Linked DNA regions of Ovis aries. The protein of the gene in region 1 interacts with the protein of each later gene in a biochemical or structural test. Links are inferred from orthologs where the notes say so. Each region holds a gene or a part of one and is shown in the gene's direction. Other genes may lie near its edges. The genes, in order: SERPINF2, ELANE and PLG.

Region 1 (3,746 bases):
CACTCCAGAACACTGACGGTGCTTGGACTCCAGCCTCGAAGGGCTGACCATGGTCCAGGAGTTAAGAGCCTTAGGCTGGGCTCTTAAGTGTCCACCCAGCCAGGCCCTGGCCAGTGTGGGACCAGTAGGGGAAGAAAGAGGGCAGGACCAAAGGAGGACAGATGGAGGGGCCAGATGGTGCCTGCCTGGAGTGACCCCATGCCTTGCCTGCCCACCCCTCACCACAGTGTTTGTGCCTTGAGCTGATGAGGCAGCTTCTGGGTCCAGAAGCCTTGGGGGAGGGGGTCCAAGACCCTGAAAGAAGGGGCGAGAAGAGTCATCTCTGCATCTCAGGTCTCCCTCCCCCGGGGGGACAGGAAGACCCAGATGTCACAGGTCCTCGCATTCTGGAGCAGAGATGAGGTCTGAGGCTGGACCCCTGCTGCCTTCTCACTATTTGCAATAGATGTAAATATGATCAATAAATCCTGTGGAAGAGCCATGGATCCGAGTGAGGCTTTTCTTGATGGTGGTGTTGGGGGAGGAAAGATTGGGACCCTGTAGCTTCCTGGACAGAGAGGAGGAGGGGAGGCATCCTGACCATGGTTCTTCAGGTGGATACAGGGTCCACGGCTTCTGTTTCATGCAGCCCAGAACCCTCATCTCGAGGAGGGGAAGGAAACATTGCTTCCGAGGAAGTGGGATGCTGGGAGAGGCATCTTTTCTCTCCCCTCCCCCTGCCTTCTGGACTCAGGCTGGAGGCAGCCAAGCAGGAGCCGGGACATGGGAGGACAGGGATTCGTATCCTGCATCCTGATCCAGGTTTCCTCCCTTGCCTTTTGCAGCTTCCCCTTCCCTCTTCTTGGGAGGGGGAGGCAGTTCTGAGGAAGAGGCGAGGACCGTGGCAGCGGGAACCTGAATGTGACTCAGCCCAGCTCTGCGTCCTTGGCCAGGCCACACAGCTTCTCTGAGCCAGACAAGCGGGGATAACCCCCCACTTCACGGGGTCACTGAAAGTCCCCTGTCTTTCTTGGATCTAATCCCCTGATTGAAGACAGCCTTTTTGTCTCCTGAATCGCCTTTCTCCAGGCTCAGGTGGGACCCACCTCTCCCGGGGTTCCAGGTGGCTGTCCCAGTATGAGATGCCCTGGTGGGAAAGGGGCTTTTGGTTCCAGTATCAATGTTTAACCGGATGTGCAGGTCAATATTTACCAGAAGAGAAGGCAACTGGAACAGTGGTTGGCTGAGAGCAAAGGTCCTGGTGGGAGGGGAGGGCTCAGCTGGGCTTGCTGGAGCAGGGCAGAGCGTGGGAGCACCAAGCTGGGCCGGAGGGAGGTTGTGTACAGCAGTGAGGAGCCTGCAGAGGTAAGGGCGGGGGGTGCCTCGGCCTGGAGGTGTCCACCTTGCTGAGGGGGTCTGGGCTGAATTTATTCAGGAGGTTTGTGACTTCCCAGCCTCCTGAGATGATGAGGAGCCAAGGTGGGGGCGTTCAAGGGGAGTCTCTCTGGGAAATGAAAAACTGGAGGTCTTTTTCTTGGCAAGAAGATTAAAAACCCAGGTTGGAGATTGGGGCCCTGGCCAAGGGTCCTTGTGTGGGACACGGAGGGGGCTAGGGGTGAGAGAAGGACACTTGAGATGGGGGCGGGGTGGGGGTGTGTTCGAGATCCGCTCCGGGGCCAGACCAAGACCTGCCCATCCCCACCAGTCATCCTGGCTTCCCGGAGTCAGCCTGGGGCTAGAGCGGGGGCCGAGGCCTGTGTTTTCCGTAAGTCCAAAGGTGGCTCTGGCCACAGTCATTCATTGGGCTCAGCCGTTGGGTCAATAAGGCCAGTCTGGCCCAGCTCCCCACCCCTGCTGAGACCACAGGCCAGCCCACCCTTGTGGACAAGACCAGGCCAGCCAGAAAGGGGGGTTGGATCGGAGCTCTGGGGAGGGAATTCCAGTACGGAGCAGGCTTCAGGACAGGCCTCCCAGAAGAGGGGCCTTGGGAGGCTGACAAGAGCCAACGCTGCGTGCTGGCCCGTGCAGTCAGGGCTCACCAGGACTGACTTGGGTTGGTCTCCACAATACATGTGGGAGGAGGAAGGGACTTTTGCCACCATTTTAAAAGATAAAGCAGAGCCCAGAGAGTTTAAGGGACACGTCCTGGGTCCTCTGCCAAGAGGCGAAGCCTGGATTCAAACCCAGGTCTGACTCACAACTCCCGGCCTTGAGAAATGGGGACTTTTTCTGTGTGGGTAATATTTTCCGCCATGAACCAAAACACTTTCAGGGCATACAGTGTAAAAAACCAGAAAACACAAAGGGGGAAGAAAGCAATTCGGGAGAGAGTTCGAGCAATTCACAGCTCAGAGAGACACGCTGTGGGCGTGGGTACTGCAGCTGGCATTGTCCCTTCTGCTTGGTGGCTCAGGTGCCCATGAGCCTGTGGGTGGGATTCCTCGGCGGGTGCAGGGGTGAGGTAGGAACAGAGCCTTCCCGTCCTGCACAGGAACATGGCGCTGCTCTGGGGGCTCCTGGCGCTCAGCCTCTCCTGCCTGCCAAGCCCGTGCTCAGCGGTGAGCCTGGGCTGAGGTCTGGGTGGGGCAGGGCGGAAGCTCTGGGAGAGGTCGAGGGTCTTGGGGAAAGGGGTGGGGGGCTGGGTTGAGGGAAGTCTTGGCTTCAGGGGTTCCCTCTCCTCTCCCCCCCTCTCTCAGCAGTTCTCTCCTGTGAGCGCCATGGAGCCCTTGGGTCTGCAGGTACTGGGGAATGAGAGGCAGGACAGGGAGGAAGGTCCCCAAGGGCCTCCCCTGTGGCTGGTGCTGGGTGGGGGGCTGTGGGAAGGGCTGCTCTCCATCTGCTTCCTCCTTTCTTCAGCTAATGAGCGGGCAGGCCCAGGAGAAGCTGCCCCCACTTTCCCTCCTCAAGCTGGGCAACCAGGTACAACCAGGTGGGGCTGGGGAAGAGTGGGCGGGACCCGCGGGAGGAAGGCAGATCCGAAGGGCAAGGAAATGGGGAGGGGAGGGGAGGGTGGCAGTGAGGCTGAGGCCTGAAGGGAGAGGATGGGAGGGACGCGAGGGAGGAACCTAGCCCCCAGAACGCCATCACCCACGTCTGGACAGGAACAAGGCCCTGCTGTCTCCAGTACAGGGGCTTTGAAAGAGATCTTCAACAGAGCTGACCCCTTGACACCAATGCTCCCCCCACCCTCATCTGTCCCTGCAGGAGCCAGGTGGCCAGATTGCCCCGAAGAAGGCCCCAGGAGACTGCAAGGCGTCCCCAACCCCGGAGCAGACACGCAGGCTGGCCCGGGCCATGATGACCTTCACCACAGACCTCTTCTCCCTGGTGGCCCAAAGCTCAACCAGGCCCAACCTCATCCTGTCACCTCTGAGTGTGGCCCTGGCACTGTCTCACCTGGCACTAGGTACTGGGGCAGCAGACCAGGAGACCAGGTGCAGACCAGGAGAGCTAGGAGGCCAGTAGGAACTCGCCTCCTTCCCCAGAGCTTACTAGCGGGCACTTCCTCCATCAGGGTCTCTTGAAAGTTTGTTAAAAACACAGACTCGTGTCTCCGTGAATCAGAGTCTCAGGGATTGGGCCCAAGATGGGCCTCTGGTGGTTTTTATGCAAGAGTCTGGCAGTTCCAACATCTCTTTTGGACTGGAGGGTCTCACGGTGGGACAGAGTCCAGAGAGGGAAGGTGATGAAATGTCACCCAGACTAGCAGCAGCAGAGATGGAAGTAAACTTGGGTGTCCTGACCCTCAGGAGGTGGGAGGAGATAGT
Region 2 (3,723 bases), on another chromosome or scaffold:
TTTGGATTCAAAGCCCAGGTCCCCCAACCATGTCACTGGGCAGGTGGCTGATATGGAGACCCTGCCATGCCTGCAAAATATTAGGACAGAGCTGGGTGCACATGATTGCTGTTATCAGAGAGCCCTGGTGAAACTGAGGCACGTGGCATCCCAAACAATTCCTCTGGGCCAGAGTGACCAGTATTCTTGCCTGGAGAATCCCATGGACAGAGGAGCCTGGCAGGCTACAGTCCATGGGGTCGCCAAGAGTTGGACACAACTGAGCAACTTAGCATGCATGCATGTATGACCACATTTAGCAAAAATACAGGATGTCCTGCTAACTCTGAATGTCAGATAAACTAACTTTGTACATAACTACATGTAAGGAATATTGGCTTCCCTAGTGGCTCAGGTTGTAAAGAATTTGCCTGCAGTGCAGGAGACCCAGGTTCGATCCCTGAGTCAGGAAGATCCCCTGGAGAAGGAAATGGCAACCCTCTCCAGGATTATTGCCTGGAAAATTCCAGGGACAGAGGAGCCTGGGGGGCTATAGTTCATGGGATTGCAGAGTCAGACACAACTGTGCGACTAACTTTCACTTCACTTACACAGGACACCCTGCTAACTTTGAATGTTGGATAAACTTTGTTCATAACTACATCCCATGCTTATATGTGGGATACACTTATGTTAAAAAGATGTCTATCTGACATTAGGGTTTAATCATGCACCCTGAGTTTGAACTGGTGACCCTCCTGGTCACTTGCACAGTTCCTTCCCCAACTGTTCTTCCCATCACCCAGTCGGCGGTCCCCCATCCCCTGGATGGGGAGAGGAAGTAGGGGCACCTGGCCCCGCCGTGGGGCAACTGCAACTGCCTCTCGGTGTGGGGACTATAAGAGGGACAGGTGGGCACAGAGGGCAGAAACCCTGGAGCCCCCAACCGACCATGACCCAAAGCTGCAGACACTTCAGCCCTGCCCTGGCCCCCATCCTGCTGGCCCTGCTGCTGGGGGGTGAGTGGGGTCGAGTCTGTCCCTGGTCTTCTGCTCCCCCTCTCCACTCACCCTGGACCCTGCCGCACCCCCCAACCTCATGGGATGAGGAGACTGAGGTTCTGAGTGGTGAGGGTGAAGGGGGGGTACACCCTGCACCCTGTGGGGACTTCAGGTCTGGCTGCGCCGGGGCAGGAGGACCGTACACGCCCCCTCCCCTCTCTGGGTGACAAGCAATAGAAGGGCCCAACCCTGCGGGGTCCTGCTGGGGGTTCCAGGGGTCGGGGGTTCCTCCTCTGCTTACCGCCCCACCCCGCCCGTGCCCCCAGGCCCCGCGCTGGCCTCGGAGATCGTGGGGGGCCGGGCGGCCCGGCCGCACGCCTGGCCCTTCATAGCTTCGCTGCAGCTGCGCGGAGGCCACTTCTGCGGTGCCACCCTCATCGCGCGCAACTTCGTGCTGTCGGCAGCGCATTGTCTGAACGGCGTGTGAGTGTCTCCGCGGGCGCACACATCGAGGGTCCCTGCGCGAGGGGCGTGGGGCCGGCCCAGGGTGGGGGCTTCCGGCAAAAGCGCGAGGGTTTGCAGGGTCCCCCTGCGCCCCAGCGGGGTCTCTCCGCCGCTTCCGATCCCGGGGACCCCCCCCCCATCACCTCCTGTCCGCCCGCGACCCCAGGAACTTTCGATCGGTGCGCGTGGTGCTGGGGGCGCATAATCTGCGGCGGCGGGAGCGAACCCGGCAGATGTTCAGGGTCCAGAGGGTCTTTGAAAACGGCTTCGACCCCTTGAACCTGCAGAACGACGTCGTGGTTCTCCAGGTGCGCGGGGGGCAGGGCGGGCAGGGCAGGTGCAGCGTCCTGAGAGGCTTGGGGAGGGGGGAGGGGCAGGAGACTGGGGGGTGCGGCGGGCGGGGGGCAGACCTGATGTCCCCCCTAATCCTGGTGCTTTAGTCACCCCGCTGTGAAATGGAGAAGTACACCCCCGCATCCCGCAGCGCTGCCAGAGATTAGATAAGACAGCCAGAAGCTCTGAGCAGCTGTCTTTCCTGGCAGTGGGCACTGACGGCCTCCCTCTTTGGGAAATGGGGCAAAACTACCTACATTCGGCGGGTGGGAGTCTGGAGGCAGAAACCTACCTTTCCCCTCTGCTTGCACAGCTATGATTATTCTCTGAGAATGTTCTAGAACAAGGGCTTTATGGTCGTTGGTGTAGCCCACGGTATGTTCTGTTGGACACCTACTGTTTACTGCACTCAAGACACATTCAGGGACTTCCCTGGTGGTCCAGGGGCTAAGACTCTGCACTCCCAAATTCAGGGGACCCAGGTTCAATCCCTGGTTGGGAAACTAGATCCCGCATGCTGCAACTAAGACCCCATGCAGCCAAACAAATAAATAAATAAATATAAAAGACATGTCCAGAGACGTGGCCTCAGCCATAGTGGTTCCTTCCACTTTACAGACGGGGAAAGTGAGGCTCGATGGGAGGCATGAAGAGGGTGCGCATCCTGCTCTTAAACACCCCAGGACAATGGTAGAGCCTCAGCAGGGGAACCTGGCCCCAGAGTCACAGCCGTGGCTCGCCACCCCTCTCCCGTGACTGCTTCATACCCCACCACCCTCCTCTGCAGCTCAACAGGATGGCCACCCTCAACGCCAACGTGCAGGTGGCCCAGTTGCCTGCCCAGGACCAGGGCGTGGGCGAAGGTGTGCAGTGCGTGGCCATGGGCTGGGGCCGGCTGGGCACGAACCGGCCACCGCCCCAAATCCTGCAGCAGCTCAACGTGACCGTGGTGACTGGTCTCTGCCGCCCCACCAACGTGTGCACCCTGGTGCCACGCCGGCGTGCTGGCATCTGCTTTGTAAGTACCCTGGGTGCCCCCAGACCCCACCCCACCCCCTCCCAGGCTGCTGCAGCCAGACCTCTGGAATATCTTCCCCACCCTGAAGGGCAGGTAGGTGGAGCTGAGAGGGCTGGGCCGGGAACCCTAGCCCCCCAATTTGTCTGGCTCCACAGGGGGACTCCGGCGGGCCCCTGGTCTGCAACGGGCTGGTCCATGGGATCGATTCCTTCATCCGTGGGGGTTGCGGCTCCGGGGTCTTCCCAGACTCCTTTGCCTCTGTTGCCAAGTTTGCCAACTGGATCAACTCTATCATCCGGCGCTACAATGACGACGATGGCCCCTCTCTCCACCCCAGGGACCCCACGGGCAGGACCGACTAGAAAGGCTGTACCTGTCATGCCCCCTCACCTGCCCCTGGCTGGGCCCTTCCCATGAAGCATCACTCAGCAGCTGGCACAATAAAAACCTCTCTCTGTTTTGTAGAAGGTGTCTGTGTGTTTGTTGGTTGTACAACTGAGTTGAAAAGTCCTCAGGAGAAGGTCTTGGGTGTGTCATGAGTATGCTGCCACCAGGTGGTGGCTGATTCAGGGCCCTGGGGTAAGAAGTCCCTTCCCTACCTTCCACAAAAGGATCCCAGTTGCTATTTCTTGGATGGAGGAGCCTGGTAGGCTGCAGTCCATGGGGTCACTAGGAGTCGGACACAACTGACAGATTTCACTTTCTCTTTTCCCTTTCATGCACTGGAGAAGGAAATTGCAACCCACTCCAGTGTTCTTGCCTGGAGAATCCCAGGGACGGGAGAGCCGGGTGGGCTGCGGTCTATGGAGTCGCACAGAGTCGGACACGACTGAAGTGACTTAGCAGCAGCAGCAAACATAATTAAACCAGTGCTGCAGGTGGTCATAA
Region 3 (3,646 bases), on another chromosome or scaffold:
ATCTACCATCAATTTAGTTATTTCTACTTGTCTTATTTGAATTTTGTTCTTTTATCTTTCTCTGATTTAAATGAGTATTTTGTATTGCCTTTTATTACTTCATTTTACTATCTATTTAATGTTTACAATACATACCTTTAACTTACATTTTACCTACAAATAATGTTATTTTCCTTGATGTAAGAAACTTACAACATTGCAATATTTACTCTGTCCCAGAATATCATGCTATTGTTCTGAGTTTACATCTATTTTGAAAAGTCACAATAAATTGGTACTATTTTTGCCCCGAAGACTCAGTCATGTTTTAAAACAATTAGAAAGAAAAGAAAGTCTTCTATTTATTTTTATTTATTTATTTCTACCATTTCTTCTATGCTTCATTTCTTCGTGTTTGCTCTCCAATTTCCAGGTGATGGCATGTTCTTCCCATAAAAAACTTGACCTTTTCCATCCTGTATAGTACAAGTCTGTTGATGATGAAGTCTTTTAGCATTTGAATGTCAGGAAGAGTCTCTTTATACTGCCTTCAGTTTTAAAAAACAATTTTTGTTGGGTATAGAATTCTGGGTGGACAATTTTTCCCCTTTGCCACTTTAAAGATGTTCCTCCATTGCCTTCTGTTTTGAATAGTTTCTGATGGAAATCTGTGTTTCTCTGTATTTAATATTTCTTTTTTCTCTGGTTGCCTTTAGGACTTTCTCTCATTTTCAGTTTCCAGCAGTAGATTACAGTGTATCTAAGTGAGTCTATTTGTTTGCTGATATGTTTACGGTGCTTATCCTACCTGAAGCTCGCTGAGCTTCTTGTGTTTGTGGATCATTGATTTTCATTACTTTTGTAGAATCCTCAGCCATCACTGCTCAAATATTTCTCTTCCCCTGCTCTCTCTCTCTGTTTTCCTTTCTGGGACTTCAATCACCCGAACATTAGATCATTTCTTGTTGTCTCATATCTCCCATAAGCTCGTTCTATTTCTCCCCCGACTCTTTTTTTTCCCCTTTGTGTGTCAGTTCAGATAATATTTACCAATCTGTTTTCAAGTTCATTGATTATTTACTCAGTTCTGTTCAGTCTGTTAATCAGCCCATCAAAGGAATTTTTCATCTCTGATAATATGGTTTTTCTTTCTAGTGTTTACATTTGATCATTTTATTCTTTTTTTTAAAAAATAGTTTTCATCTTTGCTGACATTCTTCATCTATCCATGCACATTGTTGACCAGTATTGTACTTACTACAAAATCCATCAACATATTAATCATAATTACTTTATAATCTCAATCTGATAATCCCATATCTCTGGGTGGCTCTGATAGGCATGAAATTAAAAGATGCTTACTCCTTGGAAGGAAAGTTATGACCAACCTAGACAGCATATTAAAAAGCAGAGACATTACTTTGTCAACAAAGGTCTGTCTAGTCAAGGCTACGGTTTTTCCAGTAGTCATGTATGAACGTGAGAGTTGGACTATAAAGAAAGTTGAGCACTGAAGAATTTATGCTTTTGAACTGTGTTGCTGGAGAAGACTCTTGAGAGTCACTTGGACTGCTAGGAGATCCAACCAGTCCATCCTAAAGGAGACCAGTCCTGAATATTCACTGGAAGGATTGATGTTGAAGCTGAAACTCCAATACTTTGGCCACCTGATGTGAAGATCTGACTCATTTGAACAGACTCTGATGCTGGGAAAGATTGAGGGCAGGAGGAGAAGGGGATGACAGAGGATGAGATGGTTGATGGCATCACTGACTCAATGGACATGAGTTTGAGTAAACTCCAGGAGTTGGACAGGGAAGCCTGGAGTGCTGTGGTTCATAGGGTCGCAAAGAGTCAGACATGACTGAGCAACTGAACTCAACTGAACTGAACCTTATAATCTCAATCTGATAATCCCACATCTCTGGGTGGCTCTGAGTCTGGCTCTGCTGATTATTTATCACTCAACAGTGGCTTTTGGCCCCTGTTTGTGTGTGTGTGTGTGTGTCTTGTAATTTTTAATCAATGCTTGGATTTACTTGTAGAGAAATAATAGCTATTGAAGCAAATATTATTTATACTTTGAAATGGGCAGACTTCTTTTATCAATATGCTATGTGGGTCACTGAATTAATATAATGAGAAGATAAAAGGAATTTAGGTTTTGTTGATGCTGCTTTTCCCTATGTGAACCGTAGGTTTCAAATCCCCCCAGTGGCGAGGTGTAGTCAGCTTATATCTAGAGTTGGGTCTGGGGTGCTGAAGAGCTTTCTCAGTATCTTAATCCCTTCTCAACTTTTAGCAATCAGTAATGCCTGCACCACAGAGGTGGGGGGCATGCCACACTTTGAACCTGATCCTCTTAATAGACTACTGTTTCTTGTTACTCAGTGCTGAGCTTTTGCTGGGGGCAGGCATTCTCTATCTTCTTGGTCTCCTCTCAACCTTAGACTCTGGGCACCTGGTGCTGTGCTGTGCTTAGTTGCTCAGTCGTGTCCAACTCTTTGCGACCCCCTGGACTGCAGTCCACCAGGCTCCTCTGTCCACGGGATTCTCCAGGCAAGAATACTGGAGTGGGTTGCCATGGCCTCCTCCAGGGGTTGTTCCCAACCCAGGGATCAAACCCAGGTCTCCCGCATTGCAGGTGGATTCTTTCCCAGCTGAGCACCTGGCAATATTTCTCAATATTCTTGCCCCTTCTTCTCATGGAACTGAACTCTAAGTTGTATCTGTGTTGAGTCCTGGGTGGAAGAATAGGAGACTTCTGCTTTGTGTTGGTGAAGTATCCTGGCACAGTAGAATTTTCTGCCCCTATTCCAGAGCCCTTCCCTGAGAAGCAACGGATCTTTGCCTGAGTCCTGGATGGAGGACAATTTCCCCCAGCAGCTGAAGGCTTTGGCTTTGTATAAACAAAGAGTCTGAGGAAAATGCAGAAGGTTTCCATGTCTTCCTCACTGGCACCCAGTCACCACGTGCAGCCTCTACCAAATGAATGAGTGTCTTTCTGAAGACCTGCCCAGTTTTCATGAATACCCGGGGGAGATCCATAAAAGAGAGCTTGCACATGAGTGCAAGGTCCAATTACAAGCAGTCTGCCCTGCTTATTTTTTCCTCCAAGTTTTAAATTAACTATTTACCCAAAAGTTAGGTCATGAAAGTCTTAGAATGTTCTGGAGCTACGGTTTTCTTTGCATGTCCATCTGCCTCCCAATATGTAAAAAGAGGGCGGTGTTAATTCCCAGAGAGGATATTGTTTGTGTAACAAGTTATTTCACACGTTTCTCTGTCCCAGTCATTAGTTACTGATTTCTTCTCTTTTGGTTTCAGTACCACCTGAGCAGACTCCTGTGGCCCAGGACTGCTACCATGGCAACGGGCAGGGTTATCGAGGGACGTCGTCCACCACTGTCACAGGAAGGAAATGCCAGTCGTGGTCATCAATGATACCACACCGGCATCAGAAGACCCCAGAAAGCTACCCGAACGCGTATGTCTCTGATTTTCAACCGGTAGAGGAGAGCCGCCAGCTTCAGTGTCCGTTTAAAGGGTTATGCTCGAAACTAAGAAGGAAATGGCAACTCCAGTATTCTTGCCTGGAGAATCCCATGGACAGGGGAGCCTGGTGGACTGCTATCCATGGGGTTGCAGAGTCGGACACGACTGAAGC

What was found.
Region 2: of the proteins of SERPINF2 (region 1) and ELANE, one has a biochemical effect on the other in vitro, tested with the Homo sapiens proteins (2 studies listed by BioGRID). The link is inferred for Ovis aries from reciprocal best matches to the Homo sapiens genes SERPINF2 and ELANE.
Region 3: the proteins of SERPINF2 (region 1) and PLG form a complex in vitro, tested with the Homo sapiens proteins (2 studies listed by BioGRID, with this or other methods). The link is inferred for Ovis aries from reciprocal best matches to the Homo sapiens genes SERPINF2 and PLG.

Annotation. Positions count from the first base shown.
Region 1 is NC_056064.1:22,722,744-22,726,489, forward strand, and holds the start of SERPINF2 (alpha-2-antiplasmin), read left to right. Parts: upstream 1-856; 5' UTR 857-1,074; intron 1,075-1,285; exon of another isoform or gene 1,286-2,032; intron 2,033-2,470; 5' UTR 2,471-2,474; coding exon 2,475-2,537; intron 2,538-2,675; coding exon 2,676-2,717; intron 2,718-2,835; coding exon 2,836-2,898; exon of another isoform or gene 2,899-2,908; intron 2,909-3,183; coding exon 3,184-3,385; intron 3,386-3,746.
Region 2 is NC_056058.1:41,086,667-41,090,389, forward strand, and holds ELANE (neutrophil elastase), read left to right. Parts: upstream 1-905; 5' UTR 906-931; coding exon 932-998; intron 999-1,306; coding exon 1,307-1,463; intron 1,464-1,650; coding exon 1,651-1,792; intron 1,793-2,604; coding exon 2,605-2,835; intron 2,836-2,990; coding exon 2,991-3,197; 3' UTR 3,198-3,302; downstream 3,303-3,723. UniProt on the Homo sapiens protein: Serine protease that modifies the functions of natural killer cells, monocytes and granulocytes. Inhibits C5a-dependent neutrophil enzyme release and chemotaxis. Promotes cleavage of GSDMB, thereby inhibiting pyroptosis. Promotes blood coagulation.
Region 3 is NC_056061.1:84,340,087-84,343,732, reverse strand, and holds part of PLG (plasminogen), read left to right. Parts: intron 1-3,306; coding exon 3,307-3,466; exon of another isoform or gene 3,467-3,646. UniProt on the Homo sapiens protein: Plasmin dissolves the fibrin of blood clots and acts as a proteolytic factor in a variety of other processes including embryonic development, tissue remodeling, tumor invasion, and inflammation. In ovulation, weakens the walls of the Graafian follicle.